Astyanax mexicanus: one gene and its partner. The protein of the gene in region 2 binds, or shares a complex with, the protein of the main gene of each other region. Links are inferred from orthologs where the notes say so. Each region holds a gene or a part of one and is shown on either strand. Other genes may lie near its edges.

Region 1 (10,936 bases), about 110 Mb from region 2:
CATATCTGCCACATCTTTAGCAACTTAGCGCCAGAAAGTTGCCCCATGCCCTCTTTCACCCCCTCCTCCCTACCCCCCTGCCCCCGGCTCCTTCTGGCTGATTAGTTCTAATGTAATTTTAATTAAAGCTGCGGTGTCAAAGGCCCAGCCCGGCCGAGGGGCCAGGGCAGATTGGCGCTCTGTTGATGCCCCTCGCCCTGGTGGAGAGGAAACGGGCACCGGCGCCAAGCCCAGAGAGCGCCAGCGTAAACAAAAGCTGCTCCTCCACAGAGGGCACGTTCATACCGAGCGCGCTCAGATGAGCCAGCATACACACAGTTTACACACACACAACACACAACTACAACCCTTATTCTACCACCCTGTTACCCATCACACAAAGAAATTCCACCCCAAATTCCATATCAGCTGTTTAATGGGCTAAATATGAATCCACTTCAGCATCGTTTCTTAAAGCTTCTGCAACGTTCCAAAATTTATTGTTGCATTTAGAGTTGCATTAATTTCTATTTTTCCATAAGATCCTGTATTGATGTCGGGATATTTGGTGCCCTGCACAAAGTCCAAAAAACATATTCTCTCTTTTGCCTTTTTATACCATTTCATCCCAAATAAATAAAACCCAATTACTGCTGCTGATGCCGAGTTGCCAATTAGCATTACAACACTCAGGGGAAAGCGCAGTGACTCGGTTCTGATACATCAGCTCACAGACACAGCCTTGTGCTGATCCACATCACCTTAGAAGTGATGAGAGGAAAGAGTGCCATCTACTGTACTGTACCCACCCAGAGAGAGAGCAAGAACAACTGTGCTCTCTCAGGGCTCCGGCAGCTGATGGCAAGCTGCATGAACAAGATTCGAATGACGATCTCCCAATCGCTCGAAGACCCTTCAAAAAAACATTCCATGGGAAGATGATCTTATGCTCCCTGAACCCTCCCCATGAATCCAGACATTGTTCTCCTGGAATATTCGCGTTCCATCAGATAAGATCCATAGGCTTGTATGATAGGACTAGGCATGATGGGTAACCCTGAGACAACTCCTTCACTCTGGATCAGGGTAAATCTGCACTCCCCACAGAGTATTAGCTTGGTTCCGTCCGTCATTACCCTCTGATACTGCTCTGCTCTGTTCTTAACATGGAAATCATGGAAAAATAATGGAAAAAACACATGGAAAATCTTCTTTACTAATGTAATGAAGGTTTGGTCACACTTAAATAATAATAATAATAATAATAATAATAATAAAAATAATGTTTTATTAATAAATTGCCTTTACTGAAAACTCAAAGCCCATAGCAAGCACAATAATAGCGCAGGTAAAAAAAAATGACATATCAGCATAAAATAAGAAAATATTTAAGAATATGGGAGAGAAAAGAAGAGTCTCTTTGATTTTACCAAATTAAAAACCTCTGGAATATAATCAAGAGGAAGATGGATGATCAAACCATCAAACCACCAAACTGAACTGCTTGAATTTCTGCACCAGGAGTAAAGCAGCATAAAGTTATCCAAAAGCAGTGTGTAAGACTGGTGGAGGAGAACAAGATGCCAAGATGCATAAAAAAAACTGTGATTAAAAACCAACCAGGATTATTCCCCCAAATATTGATTATTTCTGAACTCTTAAAACTTTATGAATATGAACTTGTTTTCTTTGCATTATTTGAGATCTGAAAGCTCTGCATCTTTTTTGTTATTTCAGTCATTTCTCATTTTCTGTAAATAAATGCTCTAAATGAGAATATTTTTATTTGGAATTTGGGAGAAATGTTGTCTGTAGTTTATAGAATAAAACAACAATGTTCATTTTACTCAAACATAAACCTATAAATAGCAAAATCAGAGAAACTGATTCAGAAACTGTAATTAGGTAGTAATTGTAAATAGTTTTTAACCTGTAAAAACCTGTATAACTGTAATTACTCTGTAACAAAGGCAACAATGTAACTTCACGGGTAGTTACACTGTTATTATGGATTATTATGGATCGTTAATGCGTGACTACATAGAGTTACTGGAGATACTGACTGTACAGTGGGTTTACACCCAGTTTTACAATTTATTTAGGTTTGATTAGATCTGATGTGAGTGTGAACAGGTGTGAGTGAGTGGGTGTGCACGGTGGTGGCGAACGTGAGCGTGCGGCTGCAGGTTTGTTCTCATGAATTAATAAAGCGCGTGAGCGGCCGATCAAACGCTTCAGCAGAATCCTTATAGGGTTTAATGGAAGATGGGAGTGCCATCTGTGTGCCGCCCGGGCCGGAGCCAGGGCACCGTCTTTAGCATGTGGCGTGAGGGGGACGAGGGGCGGGGTCTGCCGGACAGTTGGGCGGTCGGCGGTTGGCCGGGGCGCTGAGCCGTGCTGTAAAAGGGTTTAACTTTGCTAACCTTCACCGTGCCAGCCTGCCGGCACCTGCTGGCACCTGCCGGACCCTGCTGGCACCTGCCGGACCCCGCCGGAGCGGGATATTGCGCCGGGGAGATGTTGGCAGGCTTTGACGAGTCGCCGATGTGATGTTATTAGATTCTCCGGTGCACTCTGACCCCCCCTGCTGGCAGGGAGGATCAGGCGGTAAATGAAGGTGAAGGTGAGTGTGTGTGGGCAGGTGTGGCAGACCCTCACCTGCCGGGAGGGACTTGACTTTTGTCGGAACCCTCCGGATGGTCAGAGGCTCCAGCTGAGACCTAATTAACCTCAAGAGGACGGGCAAAACCGAAGCGTCCCCGATTTTCCATCATCATGTTCCTGAAGCAGTGCGCATTAGTACAAGTTTACAATTTAATATACAATTAAATACAGTATAATTGTTATTACAATATATTGTACTCAATTATATAAATAAAGACTTCTTAAAGATTTCTTGTGCAGTTAACTCATAATCTGTTTTCAATATCTGTTGACGGTAGGACTGCAACTAATGATTATTATTAGTAGTCGACTAATCTGACGATTCTTTTTTTGTTTCGATTAGTAGATTAGTCAACAATTATTTCTATAGAAAAAGCAGAACATGAGATTTAAATAGCATTAAATACCTGAATGTTGTTTAAATGTGGAAAGTACTGATATTTAGTGATTAAATATGTAATCTCCCATTTATCTCCCATTGCGCTTCTGTCCCCAGCACTTTGTGTAATGCAGTATTTTTGCAAATTAACGATTAGTCGACAATTAAATTTATACCTAAATAAAATACCTTTATATGGGTCAATGTAATGTAATGTAATTCTTCAAGTAGTTGACACTCAGAACTCAGAAAGTTTATCACAAACCGTTGCATGGATTTGTTCTTTTTTTGCTGGCCCTTTTGTATTTCAGTGTTTAATGGAATATATTTAGTCAGCTTAGGGTTAGTCAGGAAAGTGAGTTGAAACAACCTTTCCACTTCCATGTTTTATATGTCACTACAACTCAGTAAAACAATAAATGACTATAAAAATCCTACCAAATTCAAATAACTTATTTATTTAAGTATTGGCCAAAGGCCCTCACAATTACTTTTTAGAGACATGTAAAAGAAATAATAATTTAATATACCACTTCGTTGGTATTGAATGTTGAATGTAGCTTTGACTCCTAAAAGAAAAACTCCTCAAATCATTTTATGTCCCTATATTGTATTGGATGGACACATGTGGGCACATTCTATTTAAAAAAGAACATTATAAAAATGAAAGGGAAGTAAGGTGTAATAACCATGCCATAGAAGGTTAAGATGCATCTGCAGGAAGAATGGAACAAAATGACACCTGGACCTCGTCATCACGTTGTATTTTAACTCTGTGGAACTTTTATTTGATTGTGTATTTTATTGAAGGTGATGCGGTGTAGAGATTGGCGTGAGAGGACAGGGCTTCAGGCTGGTGAAGATGGTGAAGATAGTGAAGATGACACTTCAAAGGGTTTATTTAACAAACAGGAGGAGGAGTAACCGCAGGCCGGCCGCAGCTCCTCGGGGTGGAACGTTCCGGCGCTCTTTCCACTGCGGTGGTGAGCTCTCGCACGGCTCTCGCGCAGACTCGTGGTCGGGTTTGAAGTGAAGCTGTGGTCGGGACTGTCTTGAGTTGGGTAGACTGAGTGTAGCAGGTGCAGAGAGCAGCTGCCTGAACCGTTTCCAACACCAGAACATGCTCAGCGGTACCCCCCAAAAACACCAGGTATACCGGTAAAACTCTACTGAGTACTGAGTACTGAGTACTGAAACCGAGGTTTAATCCCAATTTTATAACTGATTTTAACCCAATTTCCAGTCAGTCTGCTTCCAGATATCAAAAACCACTCTTAATCGTTCCCATGTTCATCCTAAGACGTTTGAGCCAGCACCCCGGTTGCTGAGTGTAATAAGGCAATAGACCCGAGATGCACATGCCAACACCCCGGTTGCAGAGTATACTGTAGTATAGTAAACTCCAGCATGCTAAGTATAATACAAAAAACATCCCAAGATATTTGAGCCAACACCCCGGTTACCGTGCGTAATAAGACAATTGGACCCCGGTTGTTGAGTGTAAAATAGGAATCTGTCCGAGTCGTTTGAGCCAACACCTCGATTGCCAAGTGTAAAAAGAGAATTGGCTCGAGTCGCATGTGTCAACACCCCGGTTGCTGAGTATAATGTGGCAATCAGCACATCTGTTAGTCCCAACAACCTGATTGATGAGTATAATATAGGAATCTGCCCAAGATGTTTGAGCCAACACTCAAGTGTAAAAAGATAATTGGCCCGATCACATGTTTCACCACCCTGCTTGATGGGTAAAATATGGCAATTGTCCCAATCCACCGCCCCGGGTGCTGAGTATAATATAGAAATCTGCCCAAGACGTTTATTCAAACACTCTAGTTGCTGAGTATAATATTACAATTGTCCCAAGTCGTCTGTGCCAACACCCAGATTGCCGAGTATAATATAATAATCTGCCCAAGCCATTTGTACTAACATCCTGGTTGCTGAGTATAACATGAATCGACCTGAGTTGCATGTGCGAACACCCTGAATGCTGACTATAATATAGCACTCATCCCAAGTCGCATGTGTCAACACCCCAGTTGCTGAGTATAATATGGCAATTGTCCCTTGATGTTTGTGACAACACTCCAGCTTGCTGAGTGTAATATAGAAATCTGCCCAAGCCTTTTGTACCATAGACTGTGTATAGCTGAACAGAGCATTGTCTCTCAAAAGTGAAGCCACCACAGGTCGGGCGCCCCCTGCTGTTCGGTTGCAGAAAGCTTTTTAACCCCTTTTTTTCAAATATACTGTAATTCTACCTCCATTATTTAAATCTAACAGCTAGTGTAAGCTCTGCTTATATCGCCAAATGTATATATCCCCACAGAATTCGTTTTTTAAATGTTATTCAGCTCAATTCAAAAAGGTGTGGTTATTGTAAAAGGGCTGGTTATGGGCGGGACCAATAACAGATCGTCAGCTCCGCTCCGCTCTGCAGCCTGTGACCTCGAGGCAGCCCTCAGGGGCGGAGTTATTCAAATGAGTAGGCTGTCTCTACACAGTCTTTCTCCCTCCTCTGGACTCTACTGTGCAGTCTCGGGTATGGCAACATGGCGGAAGATTTTGGCTTCGTTTTCATTGAATGAACGGGAACGGCGACACAGCGTCCATCTTTTTTTACAGTCTCTGGTTTGTACAAACACCCTGGTTGCTGAATATAATATGGCAATCAGCCCAATATGTTTTTGCCAACACTCCAGTTGTGGAGTATAATATATGAATCGACCTGAGCAGTATGTGCCAACACCCTGGCTATTGGATAAAATATGGAAATCGGCCCAAACTGCTTGCATCAAAACACCAGTTGGCAAGTAAAATTTGGCCCAATTCTTCATGGCTAATACCAAGTCTCATCTGATGCTGCTTTACATCAGATAAGGCAGATCCTTTATGCTATCTGAACAGATTTCAGGACAGTTGGAGTTACTGTCTACCTTATTCAATATCTTATTATTTTTTATTAAATTATTTAAACAACCAGAACTGTAATTTAACTGTCTTCATGAATGTGCCTTAAGACATCCCAAGACTTGGTGATGGCTGAACAGGTTGTAAATAATTTATTATTTATTATTTTGTGCGGCAAACTGTGATTTTTAAAAAATATTTATTATGGTTGCGCTTTGCAAAGCAATGTTAATATCATAGCAACCCCTAGCAACCAACACAGATACCATAGCAACACCTCAGCAACCCCCTACCAACCACATAGCAAGGTCACAGCGACCGCCATAGATTTCATAGCAACAGCTTAGCAACCACCTGGCAACATAATTGCAACCCAAAAGAAACCACTTAGCAATGCTATAGCAACCACCACAGAAACCATGGCAACAGCTTAGTAACCACCTGGCAACACCTTAGCAAACACCTGGCAAACACTTAGCAATGCCAAAGCAACAACCACAGATACCATAGCAACTATTTAGCAACGCCATAGCAACCATCACAGATAGCATAGCAACCACATGGCAACACCTTAGCAACCACTCAGAAACGTCATACCATGACCTGGGATACCATAGCGACCAACTGTAGTCGTTTTAACTGGGCATCAATCCTGCATTTCAGTTCAGTCATTCTATTACTAATTCTCTTTAAGTAAATCAACATTTTCCCAGCTCTAAAAACATTTGTGCTGTAATTTAATATTTTTCAAAACATGAAAAATATATAATTTTCTAGTCACGAATTTTAGGGGTGACTTTTATTTTGAAAAAAAAAAACGCATTGCAAACGGTTATTCAATTCTATATTAATATGTGTATTTGATATACATGTACTATTTATTTCTCTAATAAATGATTATTTTTATGTAAACAAATATAATAATAATAATAATAATAATAATAATAATAATAATAATAATAATAATAATAATAAAGGACTTTTATGAAGGACTTTTATTGGTGGCACTGTGGGGGCGCGGCTTCGCTGGAGCAGCAGCAGCGGGGTCACATTAGCTCGCGGCTAAAGCTAAAGTCTGGTGTTTGTTGGTGTTTTTCTGATTTATTATCAGTTTTTAGTTTATTAACAGGCTCATGGACTCTTCTAAATCAGGTAAAAATCACCCGAGCTGCTTTTCTTCACAGCGCTGCTGAGAAAACAGGATATTTAGCGGGAAAATGAGCTGAAGTTAGTTAGCATTTCTGTACTTTAAGGGCAAAGTTGGGCTAAAAGAGCGAAAATCGCCTGAATTCGAGCTTAAAACACACAGTTTAAACATGAAACTGATATTAATAATCAGTTATTTCTGTCATAAAGACGAGTTTAACCTGTGTGTGCTGTTATAAAGCTAAATATCTCCTTATAAATCTTGTTGAGCTGTTATAACTCTCCGTTCCACCTTAAATAGTGCAGCAGTTACATACAGCGTGGCTGCAGCATTTAAGGTGGAACGGAGAGTTCAGCAGTGTTTAGACAACTTAGCTTTTATTATTATTATTAAAATAAATTAAAAATCATATTCTCCGTTTAAATGACAGTTTGGGGTCATTTTCAACCTAGAAAAGGGATTGTCAAAATATTGGAAACACCCCCACGTTCACTTGGTGTTTCTGTTATTTTGTCCACCCAAGTATTAAACGTACTGGTAATGTAGCCAATTACAATTACATTTCTTGAGTTAATTTTACTCATTTATTTTTTAAAGTAAAATTACAATATGGAAATATTGTTACGTTAAAGTTTTGGAGTTCATTTTAATAGAATTTCAAAAAATGGCTATTGTTTGAGTGTCTCGCATGGTGTTTCTGTTATATTGGCCGCACACCTCTAAAACATTTTTGTAAAAATGAAAAAAAGTCATATTAAAATGTCATTGGTTAATATAATTTTATTTGATTTTTAGTGTCAGATTTAAATTACATTCTCTTGCCAGTGTTTGAATTTCATTCTCATATTAATGAATGATAGATTTTTTAAAATAAGTCTCTGAGAACTTTATTATCAAATGTTAATCATATTATAATTCTATTTAGGTTAGTTTTATCAGAACTTAATTTGCAAAGTTGAATTTAATCTGCATTTTATTTGCAAAGTTTAATCAGATCCCTAGCAATATTACATCTATTGTTGAATTAAAGTTTCAGTTCTGAAGTTAATTTAATTTCAATTTCAGTTTCATTCTTAAAGTATTTTTTGTTAGAAATTCACTCTCACTCTTAAAATTACACCCACACAATCTGCCAAAGTGTTTGAGTTTCGTTCTTATGGTAATGTAGGATAAACTTTTATTTTTTAAGTAATTGTTTTTAGGTTTTATAATTAAAGGTAGGTCATATTAAAATTTCATTCAAAGTAAATGTTATCAGAATTTTATATTCAATGGATAATTTTAATAGAATTTCATTTTTAATTGTTAATTTCAGTAGAATTTTATATGCAATGGTTAATTTATTGCAAATTGGATTTGCAAAGGTAATTCTAGCAGAATTTCATGTGCAATGGTTTAATTTTACCAGAATTTTAGTTGCAGTGTTAATTTTTGAGCACTGCCATGTATGTTAATCAGTGCAGTTATTTAGTGGGCGGTTCTGTTTTCTCAGGTGAGCCTCACCTGAGGCACGTGGAGCTGGACGTGCTGATCCCGAAGATGATGAGGGAGAAGGCGAAGGTGCGATGTTCTGAAGTGGTGGAAGGTATGGAACCAAAACCTCACAGGATTAGAACCCAGAGATTCTAGAACATAGCGGACCCACCGGTGCTTACTACTGGAGTTTATAAATCCATCAGCAGCCGGAGTCTGAGAGAGAGAGAGAGAGCAGTAGATCATGGTGTTAATGTTAGTAGGTTTTATTGCTGAAATGAAACCTGATAACCAAAATTTTATAGCTTTTTAATTTTTTTTATTTGTGTATACTGTGTGTAGTGTGTGTGTCTATACTGTGTGTAGTGTGTGTGTGTGTTTATTCTGTGTGTAGTGTGTGTGTATACTATGTGTGTTGTGTGTGTGTAATAAACACACAGTGACATTTAGATCGGGATGTTCCAGAGTTCAGCGTTTCCTATAAACAGCTCAGTTTCAGCTCTGTGCTCCTCAGGATTCCGCCAGTCATCTCTGAACCCGTCACCCTGCCGCAGATACCATCGCTGACGTTCCCCGGCGCCGTGGCAACGCCGACCTTTAGCACCCCGACCCCGTGGAACACCCAGAAACCACGGCGCTGTGTCTGGAACTGTGTTACGCGACCTCTCGTGGAGAACTAGAGTAACTGTGCCGCAAAGTCTTCTTCTACAGCTCTGCTGTATTGTAGTCCGAACTTGTGTTCGTCCCGTTAGTTTTGGTTTCACACTGCAGTTTAGTGGTTGACACGCTGAAAAACTTTACTACCTCCTGTCAACATCACCTACGAATGTGGGCGGAGTCTCACTATACTCAGCACTGATTGGTTTGTAGAACGATCCAAGTGAATTCTGTCCCTCTACCAGAATGCGTCTCTCTTCGAGCACGGGTCACTGTCTTGTCGGAAGACCCATTACCTAGAATGCAAACCCATCTTTCTGACACTGTTATATACAGCTCTAAAAAACATTAAGAAACCACTTCAGTTTCTGAATCAGTTTCTCTGATTTTGCTATTTATAGGTTTATGTTTGAGTAAAATGAACATTGTTGTTTTATTCTATAAACTACAGACAACATTTCTCCCAAATTACAAATAAAAATATTCTCATTTAGAGCATTTATTTACAGAAAATGAGAAATGACTGAAATAACAAAAAAGATGCAGAACTTTCAGACCTCAAATAATGCAAAGAAAACAAGTTCATATTCATAAAGTTTTAAGAGTTCAGAAATAATCAATATTTGGTGGAATAACCCTGGTTGGTTTTTAATCACAGTTTTTTCATGCATCTTGGCATCATGTTCTCCTCCACCAGTCTTACACACTGCTTTTGGATAACTTTATGCTGCTTTACTCCTGGTGCAAAAATTCAAGCAGTTCAGTTTGGTGGTTTGATGGTTTGTGATCATCCATCTTCCTCTTGATTATATTCCAGAGGTTTTTAATTTGGTAAAATCAAGGAAAAACATCATATATATATATATATATATATGTGTGTGTGTGTGTGTGTGTGTGTAAAAAAAATAAAAGTTGTCACAAAGCAGCTTTACGGAGAAAAACAGGTCCACACCTCTTACTTGAGCTAGTTACTTATTACATCACTGAATTACAGCTGTCGGTTCAGCGCTAGCTAGGCTAACAGACTGCTGGTGTTAATGAAGATGGCTAACAGCTAACTAGCGATGCTAACTGTATTTCCTAGCTAAATGAATCACTGTTTTCTTAATCAATTATGTTGAAAACAGCCTTGGTTGAAATGTTATTATATCACAGTGGGGTTCCACGCTTCACTCGCTCTGATTGGTTTAGACAGGAAAACAATAAAGGTTTGCACTATTGAGAATTTAGGTCGCACATGCCACGGATGCACCCTGAGCCTGCAGGACGGGTTGAATTTGTTCGTAACTTGATTGGGGCTGTTTATAGACCACCCAGACTCTCTTACAGTGCATATTTTATCCAGGTTCAGGGTGGTTAGCTACAGTGCCGTGATTTGGTGCAGCGTTTAAGGTGGCCTCAGGCACCAGATTGAAATGGATGCAGCGTTTAAGGTGGACTGGACAGTTTCAATAAAGAGTCTGCAAATAATGAGCCAAAATGCTTTGGATTACTTTAAAGGAGAACTGTGTTGAATATCTCTCCTCCGCTCTCCTGCAGCTTTCTGACATCCAGTATTTTCTGCTCTTTACCCAAACAGGCTTTAGAATTGAATGAGTGATATGGGGCATATTTTACCCTGCAGATAAATCACTTTTTACACCGTTATTCAGCTCAAAGTAGCTCCACACTTCACTGGTAGAATCCAGAGAGTTTTGACATTTAAAACGAGGCATTAATAACTT
Region 2 (10,725 bases):
GCCCTAATATCTATAACGACTAAAACCGCTGGAGGGAGCCCGCGAGTAAGTCCAAAATGAATGGGGGTGAAGGAGGCTAAAGGACTAAAACCTCAAATAAAATATAATATCCAACAGCCAATTATTAATTAATTGTTGGACAATAGAATAATGTATTTTGTAAAAAAAAAAAAAAAAAAAAGGCAAAGTAATCATATCTATATATTTCTACTTTTCTTCAGTAAAGGGATTTTAAGCTAGCATTACTAGTTACTGAGCTTACTGGTTGGTCAGGTTTATAAATGATGTCTTTGGTACTGACAGTCCTGTGTTGAGACACATTAGCACATTTGTTTGTATAAAATGATTAAACACTGCTGCATTCAGCGTTTCTTCACATCTCTAAACAGAAAGAATAAAATAATGCTTACTGAGCTTTATTCTGGAAGACAAAGGAGGCATCAGATTCTTTCCTCAGTTACTTAAATAAACTGGGGTTTTCAAAAAAAGTTCCTAGCACTAAGATGATTCTTAAACTTCACCCTAAGCACTATGTTAAGATGTTCTTAATGCCAAAATACTTTTGGGAAACTGGGCCCTGAAAATTAGAATATTATATAAGACCAAATGGAACTTTTGGCAGTGTGCCAAGTCCTGCTGGAAAATAAAATACATATCTCCATAAAAGTTGTCAGCAGTGGGAAGCATGAAGTGCTGTAAGATTTTCTGGGAAAACACTGTACTGACTTTAGACTTGATAATAAAACACAGTGAACCAACACCAGCAGATGACATGTCGCTCCAAACCATCACTGATCATCAGTAAATTTAGCATAATTAATTAGCATTAATTTGTAAATCAAGAGCCCAGAGGCTGGAGGAAGAATGGAGAGACACACAGTCTAAGCTGCTTGAGGTCTAGTGTGAAGTTTCCACCAATCAGTGATGGTTTGGAGAGGTCATCTGCTAGGGTTGGCCCACTGTGTTATATCAAGTCTAAAGTCAGTGCAGTGTTTTCCCAGAAAATCTTACAGCACTTTATGATTTCCTCTGCTGACAACTTCTATGGAGATGCGGATTTCATTTTCCAGCAGGATTTGGCACACTGCCAAAAGTACCAATTGGTCTTACATAATATTTTAATTTTCTGTAAGCCATGATTAACAATAAAAGAAATAAATGCTTAAAATAGATCACTTTGTGTGTAATACAACTATATAATATGTTTCACATTTAGAACTGAATTACTAAAATAAAGTAAAAATGTTTTTTAGATGCACCCGTAAATGTTTTACTTATCCTTACAAAACAAAAAGATATCACTGTCTGTGGAAGAAGTCATTTTTAGATTCATATTCAAGATTAAAAAAATGATAAACTTGCAATATAATTAGTATTATAAAAACAATGTATTGTATAGTACATTAAAAAATACAAATACTTTCAGAATACACAACAGCAATTCTTTCTTTAAAAGAGTCCATGAAATATCTTATACAAAAGTGTCTATTCCCACCTATGAGAATAACATTTTAATCAGGCTAATAGCCATTTAAACATTTTAAATGGTTTAATTTGAGCCGACACTGTAATGTATATAATATTAAGTTTACTAAAATGTCCTGTTGATTTTAGATAGAGTGAACAAGAATTACATACAACATGAAATGTACTGTAAACTTTGTACATTCAGCACTTCATTATACATTTACCATTGTGCTCTAAATTAAGCAAATAAACAGCAGCTGTGCAATAAATAGGGCAAACGGGTTTTCCATTATTTACTTTACTGCATTTAATTGTACAGAGACATAGCACACCTTAGTAAAAGTATAGACCAATTTATTTTCAACACTACACACCTTTTGTATATCCTACAAATAGCCTATGTTGTAGTTGGACATGCACCTCCCAAGAAACAGCAGAATACAGCAATTGTAATTGCTCAGCTGAACATTGTAGAGTGTTGCAGACAGACCTATGCACATGTATAAACGCTCACAACTACACAGTAGACTCTGTGCTAACTTGCAGAAGACAGAAGTATAAATCAATCATTAGAAGTTAAGATTCCTGAACTGTTTGGAACCATTTGTACTGTTCTGTTCAAGTCACCATCACCGTTCTGATTCATGCTCTTTATAGTTTTATCCTTTTCTAAGTACGCTCCTGAATTTATTCAATCTCTGTCCATACGTGTCCAATTTCTCCATTATATCAATCTCTACAGAGCAGCCTTTTTCAGATCCTGAGGCAGCACTCTGCCCTTCTTCCTGGCTCTCTGTTGCCGCTTCTCCATTTTATTGTCTTTGCGTTTCTGAATGTTCCTGCGTCTCTTGTCCTGTCTCTGCTGCATCTTCTCCAGCACATTCTCGCTCCTCTCCACCCACTTTTTCTTCCTCTGGGTCTTCATCTTCTCTTTCCTCTTCAGCGAAGCCCGTAGAAGCTGTTCATCATCTTTGATCTTCATCCCCTCAGCCTTGTAGAGAACGTTGGTCCACTTCATCTTCTCTTCTTCCTTCTTTGCTTTCCCTTCATCCTTCTCCCGCAGCTCCTCCAGACGGGCCTTCCTGGCCTCTACTCGGGTTAACAGCTGTTTGTAGTTCTTCCCTATGAGGGGAGTGAGGGTTCCTTTCACTTTCCTTTTCTTCTTCTTCTCCCTCATCTTGGTCCCTTTATCCACATAATCATCCTCAACCTCCACCTTGTTGAAGACCAAGGTGCTTGTGTCCTTCTTGTCAGATTTGGATTCAGCAGGTTCAGACTGAGGTGTGGTTATCTCCACCGGTTCGCTTTCCTCTTTTATCTCAGTGGTAGAACTCTGCGCCAACGCTTTCATACGGAACTCTTTCCTTTTCCGCTTTTTGCGCTCTCTCTCCTGTTTCCGTTTCGCTCGTCTTTTCTGCACCTCTTCTGAGGAAGGGTCCTTGGGTGGACCCTAAAGTGAGAAAATAAGAGACTTAAGAGGCTTACAATAAGCAAAAGATACAAGTTATTTATACCAGAGTACTGGAAAATTAGGGGTGTAAGAAATCCCAGTATTTTGCATTTCTATACAGTATAAATGCTCAAAACAACAGAATTTCTTCATCATTAATTAATGTAAAGAATGGAGGCAGACATTGGTTCATTTAGTGTTGTGCTTAAACCCTGCCTACTTGACAGCTGTGTTGTAGTCTGTTTTGATTGAGCAAAAAGTAAACTTTACTTTACTAAAGATAATTGAAAGCTGTTCACACTCATGATCTGCTCATATTTGGGCTGATGACATAAAAAAATGTGTAAACGCACAGCTTGTGCTTACAATCATTAATAAAACATTTCCTAATTCTGCATATTAAATCCTCTTTAATAAGGTAAATTCTAATCTGTTTGAAAAAACTAACAAAGTGAGTTTAAGCAAAACATCATCATGTCCTACAAATTCATTAGGGGGTTTGTGTGTTTATTTTGGTACCTGCCCACGAGACTCCTCAATCTTCTGATGAAGTCTTTTCCTTAAAATATCCACTGCATTAAACTCGCCTTCTGATTTTGTGCCTTGAGGAATTAAAGAAAATGTGTTAATAAAGATACTGGAATTCTGTTATGCTTCAGAAATAATTCTGGATCAATTCAAATTCACACTTTTGACTTACCATGTGTCTTCTTCTGGGCTTGATTCCCATTCTGAACTCTGGCCTGAGGAGCTTTCTGTTCTGTGATGGGCTGTTTCTGTGCTGCTTTTTGGATGGTCTTTGGGGCTGGCTTTTTATCATTTGTGTTTACATTATTTCCTTTGATCTGCTTCTGTTTCTTCTTTTGTTTCTTCTTAGGTGGCCCACTGTCACCATCTTCGTCACCACCACTACGAGCACGAAATGGAACTGAAAATAAATAACAGAGGAATGAATAATAAATTAATAATGAATAATTAATAACAGCTGGAAAATAAAGCTTGACTCTTAATTCACTTAACTGTTCTAATTTTTTTTCGTTAAATATACTCAAGAAACAACAACTGCAGACAACCTGAATGCTGTGCATTCTTCCCTTCTGTTCTACAGAAATAAAGCCAAAATTGCCTGTCTTTGCAACCAGGGTGCATTAGAAAGCAGTTAGAGAGAGCAAAGTTAGAGTCAGACCATTTTTTTCAATGGCTACCCAGTTTGTTACAAAAATGTTTTAACAGAATAAGGTATTTTTGACTTCAGCTACGACTTTAGACAGATCTCTTCCAGACAAGAATGCCAAACATTTTATTTCTTAATGTATAACCCTGTCTTCTTACAATATAGCAGGACAGTTGAGATGGAAAAACATTATAGAGGAGAAAAATTGACAACTGCCTTCTTACCACAACCAGTCTAACCTTGTTTTCTAGTCACTGTTGGAACTACATGTAAATGTTTGTTGTTACCTTGAGAGATCAAAGTTCTAAAACACTAACGTATGTATATCACAGTCAATCAAGCAAATTACATTGTGTTACAATGTCCTATTTAATAGACCAACAACATTCTTCAAAATAATTAGTAATGTTTTTTTTATATTTACTTCCATTGAATGTTAAGATTTTGAAGGTGCATGGTTTGCATAACAGTAATGATAAATTTAACAACAGCTTAATATTGCTATTAGAGATAATTATAAGTATTTTGATAGAAGCTGGATAAGTCATTTTTAAGACATTTCTTCTTAAGAATGGCTGGTGAATGAGATATGTGGAAAAAAAGATGGGAAGTCCAAAATATTTAGGTTTATGAACTTACTAATTATATAAACTAATTAAAAACAGATCATGAATCTGCATGATCAAGCTCTAAAATGTACATTTGCGGCATTTAGCTGATGCTTTTATCCAGAGCGACTTACAAGGTTATTCCTATTACAGAGGTGGGCCAATGCAGAAGTTAGGAGTCTTGTTCCAGACTCTTATTGGTGTAGAACAGCATTTAGTCACCCAGACTGGGAATTGAACCCCAGTCTCCCAGACAATGTGGTAGGTAGCTTACTGGAAGTTAGTGGTATTATGCACTGCACTGCACTAACCACTTATGACAGCCAGTGTAGCCAGTGTATGACTGCCCATAAAGCCCATAGTTCTTTAGGAAACAAAAAGGTGATTTTTCTATGGCAGTGTGTTTCCCTGCTTCCTACTAGTGATTTAAAGCAGGCACAACACACAAATATGCAGAGCTGTGAATTTTTAGAGTATATATATGACCACATACCACATACTGCAAAACAAGAATAGAAGCGTACCATAGGGTCTCTGTCTGGTCTGTTCGGTCTGGGAATGGCACACTTTTCGAGTCAGCTTCTCCAGGTAGTCGTACTTGGCTGCAAGGCTTGAGGACATCTTTGCAGCAACTGGACAAAATACACAACACAATCATGCAATCAGCCACGTGTGATCACACTTAGCTAGGTTAACATTACACGTTGAAAACAGATGACTGTATAATATTTCTTAAACACAGAGACCCTACAAAGTAAGAGCAGAGCGTTGGATTAATGTTTATTTAAGTTACTAAGATCAACTTACCTTCCACAAAGCCAAGCTCAGCTAGGTTAACTATCCCACAATATCCCACAGCAGTTACTGGCAGCTATTAAACTAGTTTCTCACTGAGGGAATAATTAGAAAGGATTTGCCACACATTTCCTCTTCTACTTCTCCTTCTTCTTTCACTCAAACGGTCGGAATTCTTAATCTGCGCTCGATCTGAACATTAAAAACAGCGTTTCTGCAACAACAACTGCTCTAACTCAACAGCTCCTCCTGCCCATGTGTTTCACACCGCGCATGCGCAACCGCACACGCCTGTCTCCGGATGGTGTTACAGTGAAACTCGTCCCCTCGCCTGCCGCTCTGTGGAGAACATGTTATGCAGGCGGTTTGACCTGTTTACTACTGACACCAAACAGATAGATATAATCCAGCATAACTCTCAGTTTAGACATTTCTCCTGAACATGAGTGGCCTTAAATACATGCTCATGTTCTGTAGTCACGCTCGCAGGATCATCCGGATTAATGTAAGTTTCTGTTTCACATTTATAAACATTATTTACTGATAATAAAACACTATTCCAGTTTAAAGACAGAGAGGCTGAAGTTTTTTTCTTATTCGCTGCTAACGTTACTACCGCTTCACTGAATTAAAGGGAACATGCACATATATTATTTAAAAGTCTAATACACTATTACTGAAGGAGATAACTAACTAATGAAGGAAAGCAGAATATCTGTTTACTAACATTGTAAATATACAACATGTCATTCAATTTAATCTTCTATACTATATGTTCCATCACTTATTCATTCCAAATAAATTTGCAATTCTAGTGTAATTAATTAATTTCCTACTACTTTAAGGAAAAGCCTGGCCAAGCAGACCAGAATAGGATGAAGCTGAAAAAAAGATGTGCAAATGATGTGGGGTTCAATTGCTGCAGTTGGTCTGCAGGTCTAGGTTCAGCAACAGTATGTGCTGAAAGAATAAGGCCAGCTGACTACCTGAATATACTGAATATAGACCAGGTTATTCCATCAATGTTTTTTTTCTTTCCTGATGACACGAGCATATTCCAAGATGAAAATGTCAGGATTCATGGGCTGGAATTGTGAAAGAGTGATTCAGGGAGCATGAGATCATCATTTTCACACATGGATTGTTCACCACAGAGTCCTTTTTTTAGTGACAACTTTTTTTTGGCCAGGCAGCGTATAATAATAATAATTATTATAAAGCTAGTTACCACTGGTGTAAGAACAGAGGGATAGAGGGATGTGAAAAATTATACCGCAGGAAAAGCACAAACTAGCTCTGGCTTGTGTTGAGATTCTGTTCAGAAATATCCTGCAGTCAGCAGTTGTTGGACAGTCTCGTTAGTTTGTGCAGGTGCTGAGTTTAGAATACCAGAAAATACTTTAATACAGTTATGCTGCTTATTGTAAATCATTTCAATAAATCATTAATGTAAATCATTTAGGCACTGAAAGTACAGTACCAGTCAAAAGCTTGGACACACCTTCTGATTCAATGTTTTCTACACTGTTGTGAACAAAAGAAGTGTTTGTCCTTCACAATCCCCTGACCTAAACCCAACTGAGCTGGAGCTTTACAGTTTGAAGGAAAAGCAGCAACTATTGTTCAGAACCAACAGAAACTCCTTCAAGATGCAGAGAAAACTGTGTGCGCAGATCTGTCCTCAAGCTGAATATGTCTACTTAGAATCGAAGAAGTATAAAACATACCCTGGTTTATTTAACACTTTTTGTTTACAAGACAATTCCATGTGTTCCTGTATAGCTTTAATGTCTTCAATATTAAATTTACAATGTAAATAAAATTATAAAATGAAAGAAAACACATCAAATGAGAAGAGGTTTGTCCACATTTTTGACTGGTACTGTATTTGTTTTATTTAGGTTTATATTGCAATCAAAAATTTAAAATGAATAAGAGTTAATTTTAGAAAATGTATTGTTTACTAGCCTGTGGGATTTGAAGACAAAGGCCAGTTAATATTGGAATCAGAATATTGCTTGCAATAATTGTTCTTCACTCATTTTAGTCAGTGTATATTATTTGCTTTTGTCAGTATTTGTAAATCAGATTGTTTTGTCTTTTTCTAGACTCAGACTGTCATTTCCAAGAGAAATATTTTCGATAAATCAAGGCAAGTCTTGCTCAAACGTGAGAATGGTAAGAATATTGTTTTATATATTATGTTTTATGAATTATTAATCTCTTGTCCTATTACTTGTAGATTTCTCTACAAACTGCTTTGTGAGCAGTTGCAAAAAGTTACTATGCAAATAAACTTCACTTGATTTGATATTGATATTATGTGCTAAAATATTTATACTCTTTGTTATGATTCTGCTGCTTCTTTTGACAAGTGTGCCATGTCTGCTAAATTAAGGTGGACAGCTTATAATTACACTTAATGTTTAAAAGCAATGAGACAATACTTCTGATTGACAGGATGAGTAGTGTATTTTACAGCATCCATATACTTGGTTTAATGCTTTTTTGTTTTGTAGTAAATGCATTTACTACTAGAGAAGAATCACCAGTGTTTCAACACATACTAAAGATTAACTGTAATATTCATGAACACTGCAGTAGCTGTCTGTTCATCTTCTGTTGGGTTTCACAGTTAAACCTGTTAACGTGAGTAGACAGACCAGTGTGGATGCGGCACAGGCAGAAAAGAGTGAGGATTCCTTGCTGAAATGGCTGCTGCTGCTGATCCCTGTGACCACCTTCGGCCTGGGAACATGGCAGGTACGCTCAGCTGCTGTTTACCATGATTAAAATGGTGGTTGCTCAGATATTTAAACTGCATTTTTGAATGTGTATTTATGTATATTTGTAGGTGAAGCGCAGGCAGTGGAAGTTGAAGTTGATTGAAGATCTCCAGAAATTAACGACAGCAGATCCGATTCCACTGCCCACGGAGTGAGTGTCCTCTTTGGCCCATGCCATACTATAGGTGTAGACAATGTAGTTGGAGAGTCAGTCACTTAGTAATAGTGCATACATTTTTTGGTACAAAGAAAGTCACATAAAAAATGATTACCTATTTTAGAATAGTCCCAGAGTGGCAGTGATGACGGATATTTGATTGTATTATTAATGTATTGATGTAGCCTGTGTTTGTTTGTGATCATGTGACAGTCCTATGGAGCTAAAGGATCTGGAGTACAGGCGTGTGAAGGTGCGTGGCAGGTTTGATCACTCTCAAGAGCTGTACATCCTGCCCCGTTCTCCAGTGGACCCTGAGAGAGAGGCCCGCGAGGCAGGAAGGCTGTCCTCCAGTGGAGAGACTGGAGCTAACGTCATCACACCTTTCAACTGCACAGACCTTGGGTGTGTACAAACACACAGACATACAGCATAAACCTGTATTGACATTTTTGCCTTAAATACATACATTTACAAGTAACACAAGTAACCCCACTAATAAACCAACATGCACAAGATTTTAAAGTCTTTGCCAGCAGTTTCAACCTAAATGTTAGCATATAGCGAGTTTAGCACAGACAGTACTTATAGGAGAAATCATAGTATTGTGCAAGTACCCAGTGATGTCTATTATAAGCAGTGATGTTAATAACCTGTTACTGTAATCTGACCATTTGTTTCAGTAACGAGTAATCTAACGCTTTGCTATTTCTTATCAGGTAATAGGATTAAAGTTACGTACCCAAGTCACTGTGCGCTACGTTTTTGTCATTTTCCTTAGTAAAAAGATATTGTAGCATCTGGCTGAATGTGTTAAAAGGATGGACGAGAAAGATTTGCAGTCGACGTTCATTGCTGGAACTAACAAAAGGCTAGCGATCTAACAAGCTAACAGGCTAAAACTAGCCCTAGTGCTGAACACAGTGTGCGCAGTGGGCGGTGTTGCCGCCGTTCTACTTCAGTTGTTCACCGACGTGTGTTTCAGAACTTTCGAATCAGACAGTTCTTCACACTCTGGCTGAAACTCCACCCTCTTTGACTAGGTCTGCCTAGCAAAAACAACAGAGCAACCTATATTCTGATTGGCTCAACAAGAGTACATTATAATATACTGGATGGATTGGCAAGCGTGAGAAATACCATGTGTGGCGTATGAGCGTGTGAACTCGCTGAGGTGCGTGTGTCACACGCTCAAAGCGCGAGACTTGAGAACACTGCTAACTGAAGTGAGGAGAGAGTTGCACGTTTTGTAGCTGGAAATACAAACACTATTCTGAGTTTATATCAGCTAAAATGAATCAATATCAAGCTTGGTTGTTCACTCTGTGCTACCTAGCTTCAAAAACACGTCAAATTTGATTAAACATTTGAAGTCGCAGCAGCACACTTACAGAAAAAGTCCCAAAGGTGGAGCAAAACGAGTTTTGGCAAAACTGATATGTTGAGGCGGCAGGGCTGTGCTTAACTTGTAAGTAGCTTAGTTAATTTATGGATTACTTGATTTTAAATGTAATTAAGTTACTTTTTAAAGGAGTAAACAGATTACTTTTTCAAAGTAACTTTGCCATCACTGATTAGAAGTGACTACATCTTTTAGGAATAAGCAAATACATCTATGACAGCATTAATCCTGCTGCAACAGATGGAGATTAAGTAATAAGGGTCAAGTCTTGAAGTCTCTTTAGGACAGACACAATAGTATATCATATAAAATGTAAATCTCATTGTTTTCCCCTCTCAGGATTAAGATCTTGGTGAACAGAGGTTATGTCCCCAAAAAGAAAATAAGTCCCGACACCCGAATGAAGGGTCAGGTAAATGCTTCTTTTTCTTATGCTGCTGAAAAGCTGGGCTTTTATACAAAGTCATCTTTTTTATTTATTTTTTTCTCCATACTTTAAATGTGTGTGCATCAGTATCAGCATTGACCTCAGCATACAGTTATTACTATACCTGCATTGGTTATAACTATTACTGTGTAATCAGGCTTTTATCTATGTCACAATTATAGACATGCATGATTTAAACTAAAAAGACACAACCACATTCTACAGTTGATATCTTTATTTAGTATATTAAGTAAAATGGCTGAAATATGCCTTCTGGCAAACCAAATGTGACAAAATATTACAATATGGTTTTATTAGTTTTTTTTTTAATAAACTATAAGATTTTCTTGCAAATATCAGATATTTGCACATCACTAATATTTAAAAATCTAATCTTTAGTTGATTATCATTAGATCAACATTGGTACTATTATATTTTATACCATTTTAGTGCATTGT

The links. Proteins that work in one complex are often made in the same cells at the same time.
Region 1: surfeit locus protein 1 (region 2) and cmc1 share a complex: the UniProt entries of both Homo sapiens proteins name them as parts of the MITRAC (mitochondrial translation regulation assembly intermediate of cytochrome c oxidase complex) complex. The link is inferred for Astyanax mexicanus from reciprocal best matches to the Homo sapiens genes SURF1 and CMC1.

The regions. Positions count from the first base shown.
Region 1 is NC_064408.1:130,759,320-130,770,255, forward strand, and holds the start of cmc1 (COX assembly mitochondrial protein homolog), read left to right. Parts: upstream 1-6,944; 5' UTR 6,945-7,068; coding exon 7,069-7,087; intron 7,088-8,574; coding exon 8,575-8,667; intron 8,668-10,936. UniProt on the Homo sapiens protein: Component of the MITRAC (mitochondrial translation regulation assembly intermediate of cytochrome c oxidase complex) complex, that regulates cytochrome c oxidase assembly.
Region 2 is NC_064408.1:16,896,301-16,907,025, reverse strand, and holds the start of surfeit locus protein 1, read left to right. Parts: upstream 1-5,809; 5' UTR 5,810-5,936; coding exon 5,937-5,999; intron 6,000-7,602; coding exon 7,603-7,672; intron 7,673-8,129; coding exon 8,130-8,257; intron 8,258-8,348; coding exon 8,349-8,431; intron 8,432-8,650; coding exon 8,651-8,842; intron 8,843-10,178; coding exon 10,179-10,251; intron 10,252-10,725. Other genes in the region: surf6 (surfeit locus protein 6), read right to left, coding at 2,204-2,917, 3,437-3,519, 3,618-3,845, 5,224-5,320. UniProt on the Homo sapiens protein: Component of the MITRAC (mitochondrial translation regulation assembly intermediate of cytochrome c oxidase complex) complex, that regulates cytochrome c oxidase assembly.